Drosophila melanogaster: one gene and its partners. Changing the gene in region 3 together with the main gene of any one other region gives a genetic interaction. Each region holds a gene or a part of one and is shown on either strand. Other genes may lie near its edges.

The links. Genes that interact genetically often act in the same process or in processes that back each other up.
Region 1: of ari-1 (region 3) and bon, changing one suppresses a phenotype caused by changing the other (phenotypic suppression), as found in Drosophila melanogaster (one study listed by BioGRID).
Region 2: of ari-1 (region 3) and Vps13B, changing one suppresses a phenotype caused by changing the other (phenotypic suppression), as found in Drosophila melanogaster (one study listed by BioGRID).

What each region holds. Positions count from the first base shown.
Region 1 is NT_033777.3:20,591,312-20,596,168, reverse strand, and holds the start of bon (bonus), read right to left. Parts: upstream 3,031-4,857; 5' UTR 2,326-3,030; coding exon 2,125-2,325; intron 1-2,124. Other genes in the region: Pus1 (pseudouridine synthase 1), read left to right, coding at 3,573-3,612, 3,676-4,161, 4,217-4,493, 4,558-4,857.
Region 2 is NT_033777.3:29,934,191-29,939,007, reverse strand, and holds the start of Vps13B (vacuolar protein sorting 13B), read right to left. Parts: upstream 3,031-4,817; 5' UTR 2,835-3,030; coding exon 1,551-2,834; intron 1,494-1,550; coding exon 146-1,493; intron 89-145; coding exon 1-88. Other genes in the region: eIF2Balpha (eukaryotic translation initiation factor 2B subunit alpha), read left to right, coding at 3,181-3,214, 3,274-3,375, 3,438-3,649, 3,717-3,871, 3,927-4,197, 4,257-4,403; CG42558 (uncharacterized protein), read right to left, coding at 4,548-4,769.
Region 3 is NC_004354.4:18,131,670-18,139,528, forward strand, and holds the start of ari-1 (ariadne 1), read right to left. Parts: upstream 6,017-7,859; 5' UTR 5,907-6,016; exon of another isoform or gene 5,696-5,906; intron 5,471-5,695; exon of another isoform or gene 5,382-5,470; 5' UTR 4,992-5,381; coding exon 4,773-4,991; intron 3,671-4,772; coding exon 3,518-3,670; intron 3,457-3,517; coding exon 3,400-3,456; intron 2,692-3,399; coding exon 2,042-2,691; intron 1,703-2,041; coding exon 1,579-1,702; intron 1,518-1,578; coding exon 1,291-1,517; intron 1,209-1,290; coding exon 1,127-1,208; 3' UTR 1-1,126. Other genes in the region: CG43229 (uncharacterized protein), read left to right, coding at 6,962-7,210. UniProt on the Drosophila melanogaster protein: Atypical E3 ubiquitin-protein ligase, which catalyzes ubiquitination of target proteins together with ubiquitin-conjugating enzyme E2 Ubc10.

The sequences.
Region 1 (4,857 bases), on a different chromosome or scaffold from region 3:
TGAATTTTAAGTCTTCTCTCTTTATTGAGAAATTCTTATTATGTTTTTCGCCCATAAAAGTTACTTAACGACATCATGTATTCCATGTATTCATGAGTAGGTACAGTTAGTTTTGTGAAGTCATGCATAAATTAGAATAATTTACTCGATGAAAAGGAAAAAAATGCCGTCAAGAGAAGAATTAGCATTCAAATCTAAAGGAAATCTAAAGGATCGCATAATTCTTACTGGATCATAAATAATTCTTTGATAATTCTTTTCATATTAATTATTTAACTATTCCGTGCTTGGCAGTTTCTTAAGTCAGATTGTTTTGTAGTTATGTACATGCATGTATGAAAATCTTTAACAGGATTAATAATCTAAAAGCTATTCCTTTGAAATCCCCATCATCATCCATTCTGAACTCCACACCTTGCCTCGGCGAAGTACTTTCCACTTGATAGTTTGCCCGCATCAGAAATGGGCATTAAGTGATCTGGAGGGGATTCAGGCGGGGGGGGGGGGGGGACTGGGCATGGAGTCTGGGGGTCTTAAGTGCCCCCAACGACCACAGCAAACACAACCGTTTGCATGATTGAGGGACGGATTGAATGAGTGCATGTCATTCCCAATCCCTGGTTGGGGTTCAAGAGAGAGTGGCCACTCCAAAAGGCCCACTCTAGGCGAACATTTATTTGCACGGTTGCAGGAGAAGTTTGAGTCTTTCATACAGTCAGGCTTCCGTAACTAGAAGTATCACATGCCGCATAGAAAGTTAGAGCTCGAATTTTTAATTACATACATGAAAACGTGTTTGTTTTATTTAGCACACATAATAAAATATCGTGACCAATTAGTGTCATCTAAAGCGGTTATCATTTGTGAAAAACATTAATTTTGTTTTATTGTAATCACAAGCCGTTGATTTTAATTCATAATGTTAGTGTTAAATGAAACTTTCAAATTGCCCAATTTACGTTGAAAATAAGGTAGTTATATTCTGTATGTCCCAAAATTATATTGGAAGTTCAGTTAAGGCAAGTTATCTGGCTGTACAGTAAGTAACTAATACAATGAAAATAAACAAAAAGGTGTAAAAGCAATTCAATAATTCTTTAGATTGAAGTAGTTAAAATATTATAGTATTTTTTTATTTTTCAGGACAATTATGTTCAAGCTTTCCACTAGGATGATCTACTTGGGTTCCACTGTAGCTTAAAGAGCAGCTCAAGCACGACGGAGAGCAAACAAAACACAGTAGAGAGCACACACACAACCACACACACTCTATTGCCGCTCATCTGGAGAGTGGCAGCTGCATGTTGCAGCTGATCTGCAATTGCAAGAGAGGGAGACCATCTTGACTTAGCCCTTCCACGTAAGTGAAAGCGAGGTAGCGACTGTCTAGAAACAGCTTGTTTTGCTCGCACTCATAGGGGAATCGAGAACCATCGGCACGAGACCCTAACTCACTACACAGTAAAAAAAAAAATTCTCAATCAGTAAGCTAATAATTAATGTTTAATTTGTACCTTTTTTAATTTAATTAAATTCTTGCATTAAGTTGGTATATTATTTTTCATTTTTTCATATAACAACTTAAAAATTTGTATATTAGAACTAATTTTAAAGTTGATTCAACGTTCGATAACATCACATTTCTTACATCTTAACTGGTATATCCAAGATTAAAACTGCATAGTCATATTAATTTTAAAATAATAGAAAACTATATATACACATATACTGTAAAATAGAGCAAAGTGCACGCCGTTTTTCTCACTGTAAGATCTCGGACTGGGCCGTGAAAGTGAAACACAACAACACTTGCCATTGCGCGCTGTTTGTTTGGTTGTGTGAATACGCTGCTTTGTTTGCCTTGGCCTGGGAAAAAGATAACAAACGCTTTTTGCACGAGACTCGATTCGAAACGCTTGATAAGGAGGACGCAGCACGAGCGCATCAAAATCCAACCAAAACAAAAGTTTACACTGAGCAGACTGCGCAGAGCAGGGGAATATGTGTATTGAGCCGGCTGTTTGTTATCAGCCGCAAGAGCACGTGTGATTAGGCGGCTTTAGCTAACCTCAACTTGGCGTTAGCTTATAGGTAACGAACGCGTGATACGGACTAGCAACATACCCTTTTCTCGGCACTGTCGCAGGGGTTGCTCAGACTCAGCGAAGAGGAGCTCAATGACGAGGTTGTGGGCGCACCGCTGGCCGTGTTTGGTGTGCTCATCTGGGGCAGGGCATCCGTGGGCACGGCATCCAGCTGCTCCTGCTTGATCCCGGCGATAAGCGGCAGGAAGTCGTTCTTTAGCTGCTCCAAATCCATATCCATGTTGGCGAAGTCCTGCGATTTAACCGCGTAGGCGGTTGCTGGCGATCGTTGAAATTAAAACGTGGGCGTGCTAATTATAGCAACTGATTTTTGGTTGACTGACCGACCGACCGAATGTTTCCCTAAAGGCTGTCGCCTTGAAACGGCATGACTATTGCGATTATGTTGCGGTATTATTGTTTTGGAATTAGTTGGGTAGTTAATCCATTCCAATGCTTACACGCACGCACACGCACAAACACACACAGGGCGCGCGCACCAATACACAGGAACTACACGAGAGCAGGCAAAAACAACGATTTGTGCTTGTATGGATGTTCACAAACGATTTTTCGCTGATTCTTAAAGTTTTGTTCGTAGTTGACTCCTCTTCAATTGGGTGGCTAATGCATTTTAATTTCACCTTCGACTTCTGGCTTGCAAAAATATTGGGTTCTCCCTCTCTCTTTCGCACAGAGCGACACAACTTTCGTTTTACTTATACACGACGTTCGCTCGAATTTCGCTGCTATTTTTCGGTCTGGCCGTCGATTTTTCCAGCGATTCGTGCCGCATTTCGTCCATACGCGGCTGCTATTCTTTATTCGCGCTGCGAGCGCGCTCTTAGTGCGGTTTTATTGGCGTAATTCGCTGCGAAAACACACGGTCTCACGGCGTTTGCTCTCGTTGGACGCTTCTTCTGTACAAAAAATGTTCAGCCATTTTGGATTCAATTAATTCATGTCGGCGTTGCCAGTACGACGGCATTTCGAGGGCTGTTACGCACGGCCGTGGAAACGTAAGCAGCTGAGGTCACACTAAACACGCGATCTGGCAATACCACAATTGAATTCGCCGTTCATTTCGTAAAAAATCATATTAATGTTGTAATACATGGTCAAGATGCCATTTATTTACAATTTAAAACTAATAACTTAGCCTGGTATTAAAAGGTTATAGTAAAATATAACATAATTTTTAAAATAAACTTGTAACGTCTTCGTTCTGTTAAGTCATAACGTTACGTAAAGCTTTGAACATTTTTCTCCACACAGCTAATTTAAAACTTAAGTAAATCAAAAGTAGCATTTCGGAAACTCAACTTAATTATTGAGCTAATTCAAAGAACGCGATTTTCGAAAAAAACATATTTGTATTAGCCAAACAGAGCTGTTAAATAAAACAGCTGATCCGTAACAGAGCAAGAAGAAGAAGCACAACCACACGTGTGTGAATTCCTCCACTTTAAATCCAGAATTGTTTACTTAATGTTTTTAAGACGACTTTTAAACGACTACACCAAGGCAGGTTAATTATTAGTGATCACACCTCCAATTCGAGAATTTATAATAATTAATTTTCTTACAATAGTTCGCCTGAAAACCCTTTGCAATCCCTGGAATCGCCACAAATCCTTCGCCGCAGCGATGTCAGAGGCTCTAGATAAACTGGAGGTGGAGAAGGAAGCCAGGAAAGAGGCCAAAGAACTGGAGGGCGAAGCCGTGAAGGACGCCAACCGCATCAAGAGAACACTTAAACGCAAGAAATGGGTCGATTGGAAGGAGCAGGACGAGAAGGATGCCGCCAACGGCGTGAAGCGAGCGCCGTTCGATCCCGCCGACCGGATCAAGCGCAAGAAGAGCGCCATCCTGCTTAGCTACTGCGGTGCGAACTACTATGGTATGCAGCGCAATCCCGGCATGCAGACCATCGAGGAGGAGCTCTTCAAAGCCATGCTAAAGCACAAGTGGATTACAGAGGACAGCTTTGAGCAGATTCAGATTTCCTGTTTCCAAAGAGCGGCCAGGACCGACAAGGGCGTCTCCGCCGCCCGCCAGGTGTGCTCCGTCAAGCTGCGTTAGTTTACTTATTCTATTTTACAAGACAATACTAAACCTATTCCTTCCTGCAGCTGAGGAGCTGGACCTGGAGGCCTTCAATGCCGATCTGCCGCAACAGATCCGTCTGTTTGGCGTAGAACGCGTGACTAAGGGCTTCAATGCCAAGGATCAATGCAATGCTCGGACCTACACCTACACACTGCCCACCGTGGCCTTTGCTCCGTTTGAGGAAAAGGTCGACGACGTGCACGACACCTTCCGGATTTCACCAGAGCTGCTGCAGAAGGTTAAAGAAACCCTGAAGCTCTACGAGGGCACGAAGAACTTCCACAACTTCACCAGCAAGAAGTAAATAAGCCAGGTTTATACTTCATTTCTGCTCCAACTAATATTTTGTTTACTACCCTTGTAGAAGCTTTCTGGATCCTTCGTCCAAGCGCTTCATCATGTCCTTTACGAGCAGCGAGCCATTCCGGAGTCCCCAGGACATCGAATTTGTCACACTTAAGGTTAAGGGTCAGAGCTTTATGCTGCACCAGATTCGCAAGATGGTGGGTCTAGCCATTGCCATTGTAAGGGGGAACACGACGGCGGCCACTTTAGAGCGGGCACTGACGGAGGAGCGTCTGGACCTGCCGATGGCCCCTGGACTGGGCCTCGTGCTGGACACAGTGCACTACGAGCGCTACAACGATCGCTACGGCAAGGACGG
Region 2 (4,817 bases), on a different chromosome or scaffold from region 3:
GCAGATGCAGAAATCGTGGAATAATTCGAAACCGATTGTGTAATTGGTGGCTCCGACTGGTTCACAGACTCCAAATCAGTTTCTACTTCTGAAACCAGAATTAATTACTTTTATAAATATTAGTGATTTATATAGAATCACGTACCCTTGTCTTTTGTAATTTGCCTTCCACTGTTGTCCGAAAAATTTAGGAACTGCAGCAAATATATGTCCGTAGTGATGCGAAATGGTTCCAACCAAAGGCACACCACTGTGCCGGGAATTTTTTCCTGCTCCGAATGGACCTCCTCCAGGGGAAACTGACACTGCATCTCAAGCCACTTATTGTCTGCATTCTTTGAAGTGGACAACACCACATTGCGTATATTCATTTTGGTATGGACGGCATCAGTGTGGACACCTTGAAGTGACCCCACTGCAGCCAAATGTGTATGGTACTTGTGATAGACCAGGTTTAGTTTGGTGCCCACACTCTGCAGCTTGATCACATCAGAATTGACGTTGACATTGGCTACAATGTGGGCCAGATCACAAAGATCTTGGCCACTGAAACTCGAAATTAACGGCACCAAGCGCTTTGCGATGATTAGCTCGCGCTTTGAGAACTCTAAAGTTATGATCTCTGATTTTATTTCCGAAGTCTCTAAAGGCGCCTCGTTTTGACGCCAAAGATGAGGCGCCAAAAGGCGGTTCCAGTTCACTTGAACGCGTGGAATATTCAAAAGCTTGGCACGTCCATTATCCGGAGTTGTATTCATAATCATAAGCGCCAAGTTTTTCACATTGAAGTGAAAACAGTTGTAGCAGGCATTAACCACGTCCCGAGGCTTCTCTTCTAGATGAGTAATCAGTTGGACCAGGCGAACAGGATTCACTGGTCCACACATTGTGCCCTCGACTAGGGAGATCTTAAGCTGCAAATATGGTAGCAAAGATTGTCTGACTGTGGTCGTCAGTTGGTGTTGATTGATCGCGGATGACTCATCTTGCTGCTGGCGGGGATACAACTGAACCACAATGTTACGCAACTCAATTTTGTAGTTACAAGTGGGCACCAATCCCATCAGATACTCCAGATCAGGTATAGTCATTTCAGAGTTCTTGTTTTCCGGCTCGGGGACACCGCGATCCTCATCCTTCATCGATTCTGAACGATATCCCGGGTAATCGTAAGGACGAATTAAATCACTAATTACCTTTTTAACCTGGACGAACGACTGCGAAAAGTGGAACGTGATTCCGGCGGACAATAGACGATACTGGATGCGAACTCCCAGATCTCTGAGCTGGCTCTCCGCCACGGGATGGCTGCTGGGCTTAGGCACCCGGTGCTCGATGACGTCGAAGGCCAAAACAGGACTGCGAAACAGCATGTATTCATCCGTGTTCCTGGCCACGTAATCCGCGTAGTTGTAGCTGCACCAGGACCGTTCGGCGAACATGTAGTTCTCGTCAAACAGACTCTTGTCAATAAAGGATCGCTCTTGCTGAAACTTTATATAAAAAATAGTAAAGAGTGAAGGCAATAAACAGTCTTAGGATCAACTCACTTCCTGGGTATTGACCAAGTTGCGATCCACGAGATCGTCGCTACGGTAAGCACCTAATGGCTCCATGCACATGCTAGAAAGGCCCGCCTTGACGTTGGCCCAGTCGCACTCCTTTAGAATTGTCCGCTCGTAATAAAGTCCGCCCAAACTAATTCGCAATATTGGGGTGTATCGTATTCGCTTGATGCCACCCATGCTCTGGTCGGTAAAGTACTCCGAGTTTTTAAGCTGGAAGTTCAGCTCCTCGGCGTAGACTCCCAGATCGAAGGCGTGACCAGTGGGAGTGTCGCAGGACGAGGAAGGCGCCTCAGTATCGAAACTGGGCAGTAGGCTCCAGGCCCACCAAAAGACGCTTCGTCCTGCGGATTCGGTCCCCTGTTGCGACTCGCTGCCCTCAGCTACCGCCTCCTGATCTTCTGGATTCTGGGGGTCATCCTCAAACTCGGCTGGCTTAAGCTCGAGCAGCATTTTGACCAGCCTCATCACCATGGGGAACTGCAGAGATGACACGTTGATATCCAGCGACTTCGTGAAAACTCCAATGCGTGTTGTGCTTGTTGTGGACACCGTGTTGGCGTTGTACTTGCGGAGAACCCGGCACTCCAGAGTACATCGGTAGAGAACCGGCTCCTGGCACACCTCTATCCTACCAGCTGTGTTGCGCTTGTCCAAGCAGATGGTCAAATCTGAGACCTGGAGCAACTTGCGCATGACGACGGACACCGGGTGTATGTCCACCATAGTGGGCTTCCAGTCCTCGCCGGCGGAGCTAAAGTTAAGGGTCTGCACATTCATAGAGACCACGATGTCGTCCTCCACATACTTCAGGATGATGTTGTGGCACTGCAGGTTGATGTTGTTGATGATTTTGTTGACCACGCTGGAAGAGCTTGCCGGTCCAGGACTCTTCGTCTGATCCGGCTGCTCCACGGACTCCCGCTTCGATTTCCTTCGCTGCTCCCGCTGGAAGGAGGCCCTGCGCTGCTTGCTCTCACTATCCGGCAACTTGGCCACGAATTCTATGGTATTGATGACGATCTTCACGGGCTCGGACATAAGCTTGGTCCACGGCACCAGGATGCTGAGTTCATGAATGTGGCCGGAAACTAGTTCTACTGGGAGGTTCAGCTCTTCCTCGAGCACCTCCAGGCGCAGGTCCAGATTCTGGAAGGTGACCTCGCCTTCCCACAGCGACACTTGGGCATCCTCGTCGCGGAAGTTCTTCACGTACTTGGCCACGTAGCTCAGCAGAATCGGAGTGATGTAGGACTCCAGTTTGAACATGGTGTGGCGACGCCGGAGGCTCAGGCCTCGATCCCAGCGCTGTTGACTGCTCACTTATATGACACTCTTCATTTAATGCGTTGCCGGCGGTTAACTTGAATTTACATGCTGTGAATTTTGCTACAATTCTGGGCCGAATATGTTTAACAAAACAAACATAGCCATAGAATTTTGGATTGTTTACGTTTCAGCCCCGGCAATCTGCCAATCGTTATCGTTATCGGAAGGTGCGAATTGGCAATCGATAAATTAACCTGTGAATTGCGAAGTGTAAATAAGCCTTCGAACAGCTGATTATTTTGTTGACGTTTAACGTGCAGCGGTAGGCTTTCACAATTTCATAAAAATGCCGCAAATTACGGAAAATGGCCAGGATTTTGGTGAGCTAAGAATGGGTCTAAAGTTACGCAGAAGTGATAATACAAGCTTTCACCCTTAGATGTGGTCAAATACTTCCTGCAGCTCCTGGACGAGGACAAGGATCTGTCCTCCGGCATTGCGGCTATCAGGACTCTGCTAATGATCCTGGAAAAGAAACAATGTTAGTGGGCTAATAAACCTCTTTACTGAACCATTTTAAATCATCTACAACATATTCCTCAGTTGGAACCATTCATATTCTACACACAACCATGAGGGAAGCGGTGGCTGCCATGCGGAATACGGATTTGTCTATAGCAGCCATTGTTTCTGCCGGAGAGCTCTTTTGCAGGTTCATCACCCTCAGTCTGGACGACAAGCACATGGAGGAGTGCCGGCAGATTATGTTGAATCGCGGAAAAATCTTCCTCACCAAGTTGCTCAATTCCCGGCAGGTTGGCTCTCATACGAAAAGCTAGTGCTAGCGCATGAACTAACCCCTCATTGTACCACCCAATCCAGGTGATTGCCCAGCAGGCCCAAAGGTTCATTACCGATGGCTGCCGTATATTGACGCACTCCCGATCCCGGGTGGTCCTCAAGGCGCTGATTACAGCCTCGCAGAACAAAAAGTCCTTCCACGTTTATGTGACGCAGGGCGGCACGGGAAACTCTGGGTAAGCTAGGGTGTGTTTCCGATAGAATTCAGGTGTAAGCATTGTCCGTTCTTAGCGAAGAGATGGTTAAGGATCTGCATGCGGCCGGCATCGATTGCACGCTCATTCTGGACTCAGCCACCGGCTATGTTATGGAATCGGTGGACTTTGTGCTTGTGGGGGCTGAAGCCGTGGTGGAGAGTGGTGGCATTATCAACCGCATTGGCACCTACACCATGGGTCTGTGCGCCCGTGAGATGAAGAAACCTTTCTACGTTCTGGCCGAAAGCTTCAAGTTCAGCCGTCTGTATCCACTCAATCAGCGCGATCTGCCAAACGAGTACAAGGTAGGTTCTTACTGCGTCATTAAAGCAGGAACGGCGATTAAGAGTGGGTTTATTTATAGTACTCCCGCAAACACCTAAACGATGTAAGCAAAGTGCACCCGCTGGTCGACTATACGCCACCCGTCTACATCACCCTGCTCTTCACCGACCTCGGAAGACTAACACCCTCGGCCGTAAGCGACGAGTTGATCAAACTCTACATGTAAGGGCGAATAAAGATATTGCACTTAAATACCTTTGTTTAATATGACTGTTTGAGATGAATAAATAGGGGCTCGACATTACTGAATGTACATAAGCTATAAAGCTAGTTACTCTCGCTTACACCTATGTAGAATTTATATTGTGTCTTAGAACCGCATCCTTCGCGAATAGCTCGCGTCTACCTCGTCTTCTGACCCCCAGGGATCGTAGATGTCCACGCTGTAGTGGGACGCTTCGCTGTTGCCATCGTCGTTTGTGTACTCCTCATCTGTATAGATGTCACTGCCGCTTTCGTCGTCCGACCAGTGATCGTGCATCCTAAACTGATCGTCGAGGCCATCCTGAACGTCGTCCACATCGCTGGCATTCTAAACAAAAAAAATACCAATTTATAATGCCACATATGCATTTTAATA
Region 3 (7,859 bases):
ATTTGGCTATTTCTAATCTATTTTCAAATAATAATAACGTTAAGGCAATGCAAAACAAGAATTTTTAGCATGGTGCCAATTGATCAAAAATAATAAAGATTTAAAGTCTAAGAAGGGGGTCAAATTTACAATGCATAAGCATACGTGTGCACACATACAATTGTCTGCTATCACTGTATACGTAGAAAAGAGCTATTTGCTGTAGCGCTCTCCACTCTCTCGCTCTCTCTCAAAAATTCGAGAGAGCCTGGAGCCACCTTCTAGATCCATTGCCAAAAAAATGTGTGCTAAAAAATCGCGTTGCGTTACGCATCTTGTTATTCTATTGTCTTTGGTCGAAGGAAGTTGGGCAGGTGGAAAGGAAGCTGGGCGAGTGTTTCTGCTTACATGTGTAGTTTGTTTATTTCACATAAGTTTAGGTTCTATTGTTGGCTTCTCATCATGCGTGTAGCTTTGAATTCACTAATTTTTGCATTTTGTTTCGTTTTTCATTAGGTTTTTATAACATGAAGATTTCTTTGCAATCGGTTAACATCAAATAAGTTTTTAACTGTTGATTATTTACTATATATCTATTCTGCTTCTGAGCCTTGTGACTGGTTCTGTGTGTGTGTGTGTGTGTGTGTGGGAGTGTGTGAGTATGTGTTTGGTAGTGTCTATTTGATCCTGTCCTTCTTCGTGTCCTGCTGCTGCTCTTGCTTAGTACGAAGAAAAATATATATAATTCAATATATATATTTATATATATTACGATTTTATGGTGATTTCCTTCTGGCTTCTGTGTTCTGAAATGGCTTCAATTTTGCTTTGCAACTCTTGTATGGGGATTTATCCTGCGTTTCTGGGAATTTCGAGTCTCCTTTCTCTTGCGTTTCTGTGTAGCTTCTGCATTATCCTTAACTTCTGTTCAACTCCTTCGGCTTCGATTTCTGCGTGAGTGCGTGCGTGCGTGAGTGTGTGTGTGTGTGTGTGTGTGTGTGTTGCGTGGCTTGGCGGATGTTGGTCGGTATGTGGATGGGGACAGTGTTTGCTGCATTTCGGATGCTGGATGGGGTGGCGCTTAGCGGGCACTACATTCCGATTGCCTGCCGCTCGGCTTAGCTTAGTTATCCAGCCATGACTCGCGTCATTCTGTGTACTCCCACCACTCCTTGTCGTACCCCTCGTGCACGTGCTTCAGCAGAACAGAGCACCGCTTTTCACAATACCTAATCGAATGGAGAGACCAATCAATGTTTGGATAATGAGTCGTTTGTATGTTGGGGACACGGACATGGCTCGCTCGCTCACCTGTATTTATCTTGCACTTTCTGCTTAATATCAGCCAAATTCTCGGATGTAATATCACGTTCCAAATACTCCGACAACATCTCGGTTGCCGACTCCAAGTCCTTTTGATTATCCTCGAATATCATGGATTGATTGTTCTTTTTCAAGTAATATGCAAACACGTACGTGTACATGAGAGTCTGACGGCACTGGCAAAGTATGTCGACAGCCTTTTTCAGAAACTGCACCTGCAATTGCAATGAGTGTGCTGAATTCGCATTGTTATGGTCACGAGTTTTCACCACTTACCTCAATCCATGACATGTTGTGCTGTTGCATCTCCTCCATCTTTTGCTTCACAGATGCATACAATTTGTTCTCAAACTTCATCGACTGCATGTGGTTCATGTAGCGATTGTAGTAGTGGAGATATCTGTAGATTTGGCAGAAGATAATATATCAGTTGAGTTTTATTCCATAATGACTTTCACATTTCTGCCTAGATACTTTCGTGTTTCCTTGATTAGTTTTAGCATTTCTAATTCTACAGGTTTAATCAGCGATAAAATTTAATTACGAATTATAGCTGATTCATTCCTTTCTACGGCTTTCAATCGTTATCTTTTCTTAAAAGAAATTAGCAGATAAAATAAACCGCTAACCGTCATTATCAGCGAACTGCGAAAATAATACACAACAAGTATCACTTAAAAAAAAAAAAAAACAAAAGGGGTTCCTATCCTGTGACATCGTTCACAGTCGAATGACCCACCTGGCCAGCGAGGAGCGCAGCTTCTCCTGAGCATCGCGGGCCGTCTTGGCCTCGTCCTCGTCATAGCGATTGCAGTTGTACCAGGAGGAGCCGTGCGGCTCCCAAGAACCGAGGCACACCCAGCAGAACTCGTTTTTGCAGTTCTGGTTCTTGCACACCATGTGGTTGCAGCCGCCGTCCTTCTCGATGGTCACGCTGCACCTGGGACACTCTTTGGTATTGGCCGCGATCCAGTTGGACGTCTCCGAGTCGTCGTCACACTTCTTGATCCACTTCTTTAGCCAACGGCACTTGACCGGATCGTGCCAGTTCTCGCCGCAGGCAAAGCAGAAGACATGGCCGCATTTGCAATGGACGCGACGTGGCTCCGCGTACGGCACCTTCACCGCATAGGTGCAGTCGACGGACGGACACCAGCGCAGCAGCTGGTTGCACTCCACAAAGCTATTGGTGATCAGCTGCTGGTACTTGACCCGCACCCGTGCGTCCGTCACTAGGTTGGCGACGGTCACGTCGTCCACCAGGATATCACAGCCGTGCGCCGCGCACGAAATGGTCTGGCCCAGACCCTCCGCCACGATCTTCGTTGACAGATACTCGTGCCAACAGGGCATGCAGAATCGGTGTCCGCATTCCAGCCCGGCCATGGACTAAATGGAACGAAGAGAAAGTAGCTATTAGTATACATTGTAGATATTCTTGAAGTTGTTGCTTGTGGAGCAAAAGAGTATACAATATTATAAATATATTATAATCGTATTCTATAATATATACTTAAAGATCACGCGAACTATGAGAGCTTAATGATGAAGCATACAGCAAATTAAAACCACCTACATAGCGTATGGTAATTTTAAACTTTTCATAGGTGTTTTACGCTCTGAGTATTTGTTAGTTAGCTTGTCTATAATATATTTAAGTTTACTTTGCTGTTATAACCCAAAGTTGCCCATTGCAATCTACTCTTTTAAAACGTGATACTAAATTTTACTTTTTAAACTACATTATTAAATGTTTGATTCCACAAGACAGTTGGATTCCAGCGAATTACTGCTGAACTGCTTACATAACCAAATTCAGGCTAACAATCAACAATTGTAAATCAAGCAAGTAAATTAGTGATAACGTAAGCCAATAAAAATAATTGATAAAATACAAATCAAGTCTTTTTAGAATATTTTAGATTTGTATAGCAAAGCAACGCCCTAACATTATTATCAGGTCATCAGATAAGGCACCATTGACCAGTTAAAAAATCATGTTTCCCCCCAAAATATTCGTGGTTAATCAGCGGGAAAATATATTCTACACCGCAATTAGGTCACGGAGTTACTCATCCCTTCTCCATGACAACTTACATCTGGCGGGAGCTGTGAAAAGCATATTTCGCACTCTTCGCACTGACTGCGTGAGGTCTGAAAATGAAGGGAAACGCATTAGATGAGACATCAAATGGAGCCTTAGCACTGGGCTCACCTTTTGTTTGATCGCTTCGGTGGCGTTGAAAGGATTTATGACATGTGCGCATTTGAAGAACTCATCAGTGTTGTCGTCGAAGTACTTCTCCAATAGCTTCTCCTTGTCCCACTTGAAGTGATTTAGCAGTATCCGTGTGGTGGGTGTGGGTAGCTGTGGCCATAGACAACAAAACAAATCGAATGTCAGTGGATGATGGCACATATGTACATATATGGGGTAAAAGAGCGGGGGCTGCATCCCAGTTGGCATCGAAATCAATGCCAAATCATTTGCGATCAGCAGCAGTATGATCAGCAGTACCTATGTATAATCGTGGATGGGGTTGTGATGTGGAACCACTATAACTACCACTGGCAATTGGTCTATCTAAACAGTATAATTTTTAGGATATATAACATTTCTTGGCATTCCTAATAACTAATCGATTTGTTTGGAAATCGAGAAAAAGTACGTATGTATGTACAATTCAATTTTAGAGGGAAGAGTTACTCAAAGGTGCTTTGTTTAACTAACAATTAGATAGCTACATACATGATCTGTATCAATACTGAAAGTTAACACTCAAGCTAAGTGAATTTCGCTTATTATTGCAATGAAAGATTTTCTGATGTTTAAATGTCAATGAAACAAAAAAGTATTACATGGATTCTACATTGATCCTAATGTATTCATTTGAAATGGAATCTATAATACCATTTTAAGGGAATCCCCCGAAATCTGGGAAAGTGAAAACTGTGCTAGTGAACTTCGGGCAAGTCAGCTGCTGATGCGGATATGGGATGCGGATCTGGCGACCTTGGGTGCGCCTGGGTGCTTGTGTTCCGATTTCACTGGCACTGGCAGTCATCAGCGGACGACCTTCAGCTTATCCCAGATCCCAGGCAGGGCGGTGGGCGGCAAGAGCGAGGGGTGGGGAAAGCGATTCACGGATACACATGCCCAAATGCACTGTGCTGCACACAGTGATGCCTCCGAGCGGCGAACAGATCAGATATTCTTGGCAGCTATACGCCACTAAACTATGTCAAGCCATTTGGCTTTCACTGCAAATCGCAGCGCTAACGAAAGTCGAAACAAACATGTTCCTGCTAGGAAGGCCTGACTGTAGAGCAATCAAAGGTGACTGCTTGCCTATCTTTGTTGTCTGGACTGGGTGAAGAATGTACCTCTATGGCTGCCCTAGGACTGATAGTTAAGTTGCGGATGGATAGTTATACTAGCGGGTGTTCACTGTACTTGCGCTTGGCCATACCTTCAGCAGCAGATTGGCTTCGTCGATGATCTCGCGCTGGTGTTGCACAATCTCATCGGTGGTGAGCACCTTGTACTGGTAGTCATCTTGGTCCATCTGGCGGTCCGCGGAGCTTGGCAGGTCCACCTCCATGCCAAAGTCATCATCGCCGTCGTCGCCCGAGGAGACGTTGCCCGAATCGACATTATCGCAGAAATCATTGTCATTGTCCGAGTCCATTTTTCGGTTTCTGTTTTGCGTTACTGCTTCTGCTTCAGCTGCTGGTGCTCCTTCTGCTCTCTTCCTCTTCCTGTTCCTCTTGCGCCTCCCGCACCACTTCCGTTCCTCTTTGTTTTCAGCTTTCGAGGCTTTGTTTTCCAGCGTTTACTTCCAGTATTTTACTTTTGCATTTGCATTTGCGTTTGTTTCTGTCTTTTCGTTTTCCTTTGCCTCGTTTTCCACTTGCTTTTGTTTACGTTTTTGCGCAGCCCTTTTCGCCAGTTGTTATTATTGCTGCCCTCGCAGTGGCGTGGCCAGTTGTGTTTGGTCGCTGCACTTGGTGCACAGCTTCTATTCCCTTTTTCACACTAACTTATTTTGTGCGCTGCTAATTTGTAGGCTGCGTGCTGGCTATTTTTATTTGTAAATGAAAAATGAATATGTGAGATTTTCTAATGACAATACGAGACCCTGCACGGTCGCAGCGCAGTCATACTGGTTCGGTATTTTTAAGAAGAACGGTCACACTGGCCCGTGCGCTTAACAGGGCCGAACTGCTGATTTAACAGCGAACAACACTATGTTAAATGTGTGCATGTGTGTGTAAAATCATGTAAAATCGACCGAACGTCGATGGGACAAACAAAAAAAAACAACGAAATTATGTACACAAATGCATTTTTCTTTAGGGCAGATTATTTTGTTTTCAAGGTAATGGCACACACCAGCACACTGCGCACACACATGCGCACATTACGTGTGTATTGCCACACACACGTACACAAAGGCACAGTCGAAAAGCTTATGACTTTTTGTTGTTTTTCTATGCACTTTTCCAAAGAAAAAACACTAGCTTATTGCACTAATCGTGCTCGCCTTCGTCGCGAAGTTCGGTTGCAATGCACAAATTAAATGGAATTTTCACGAAAAACTAACCGTAAAGCCAACAAAATGATTTGCATCGGTGTTGGTTCTCACTTGCTCTCTTTGCTTTTCTCAAAAAATAACACACACACACACGCGCTCGCACAGTGGAGTCAAGTGTGCGTGAAAGTGTGTGCGCATGTTTGCGCTTTTTTCCCATTTACTTTCGTTCCGATTGCCGCCTGTTTCATACCGTTCCGTTAAATCGTATGTTTAACAACATCTGCTTATCGATGGGTGCCAAAAAAGCAATAGTGACTTATCGACGGCTGGGAAACAGTAGATTCAAAAACAAGTGAGCTTCCAATGAACGTTTTCTTGATTCTCAGTGTATTCATCAAAAGAGATTATCTTAAAAATGAGACATGCGCTTAATTTACAGAAACAGTTTTTGAGAAAATCCCTTTACAGAACAAGACTTGAAGGGATCCATTCAAAGGCACGAACCACAGTGTCAAATTCCAATCCGAGACATAAACCTGTTTGAAATAAATATTGTTATTTAAACATTATTAATTATTCTTGGAATTAAAGGGTATACTAGATTCGTTGAAAAGCGCTTCCGACTTCATAAAGTACACATATTCTTGATCAGGATAACTAGGCGTCTTGATCTATTATTGAGATCTTTTATTCGACTGTCAAGATATTATACTCAAACGTTTTCTCATGTTTTTAACTGCAACCTCCGGTTGTTTGCGGTTAGAGTTTAATCTTTAAAGTGGCGAACAATATAAAATTGCTAAAACTTCGCACGAGCTAAAAATATATTTGAATAAAATTATTTTAAACTTTACTGTCCCAATTTTCATTGTTTCACAAGTACCGTTAATCAAATTCAATGGTAAATTGCCACTCTGTTGTAACATCGATGTATCGATGCCATATCGATACCTTATCGATACTGTATCGGTTGATACAGAGTTGCACTGGCAATGGGCGCCTTATTCGATTTCACTTAAAGTTTTTTATTGTATATTGTGTTTTTATTGCAACACCTGACAACTGTTGTTGTGTATAAGGTATGTATATAAAGAGCCAGCTGGCTTAATCAGAATGCGGTCATAATGCAAATTCGTTGGATGGCAGTTCGATTTCTTCTTCTTCTAATGGTGGCAGCCATACGGGCCGACCTGGGCGGATCCGGAAGTTGTGGGCCCTACGAGTGCCGTCTGAGCAACCCGATCTGCCGATGCGAGTCCTTCTGCCAGGAGTTCAGTCAGCGGTGCTGGAAAAACCCATCGGGATGCCATTGTGCGAGAGGATATGCCCGTAACGAACGAGGACACTGTGTGCCTCTTATTTTGTGCCCCTGATATAGGATTCACCATCAAAACAAATATCTAAACGAATATCACCTTAAAATTCATATGTAAACTAAAAACCGATTGCATGGAAATAATCAGCATGCAAAATAAATACAGCAGACACATTTTTAATGAGAAAAAAATGGTTATAAAATTGATTGGGCGTTTGCCTCATTACACAGAAGTAAATATTTTAATGTTTTCAATAATTTTCTATTGGTTTAATATTAGGCATTTGTAGAAATTATAAAACCAATAAATAAAAACTACAAAATTACATGACGGCAGTTACTAAATAGCATTTTTAACATGAACCAAAATGTATACCATTTTTGCATATAATGAAAATGACAATTTGATTGTAATTCAATCAATTGAGTTAAATTTACCGAATGCACTGAGCGCATGAATGGCTGCATTGTTTTTTTTTTTCGCCACAAAAAAGCAGCTGAAAAATGCACCGCTCCATTGGGAGTATTTAAGTCATTTTCATTTATGAATAGTAATACCAGGCAGTTGCCACTAAAACCCGGCCATCGCATATAATTGTGATTAAATTACTTTGTATGTATATTTATACATTAATACATATGCATACATATGTATGTATCCATGTTGGCCATTACCTATGCAAGCATATATATATATACATACATTG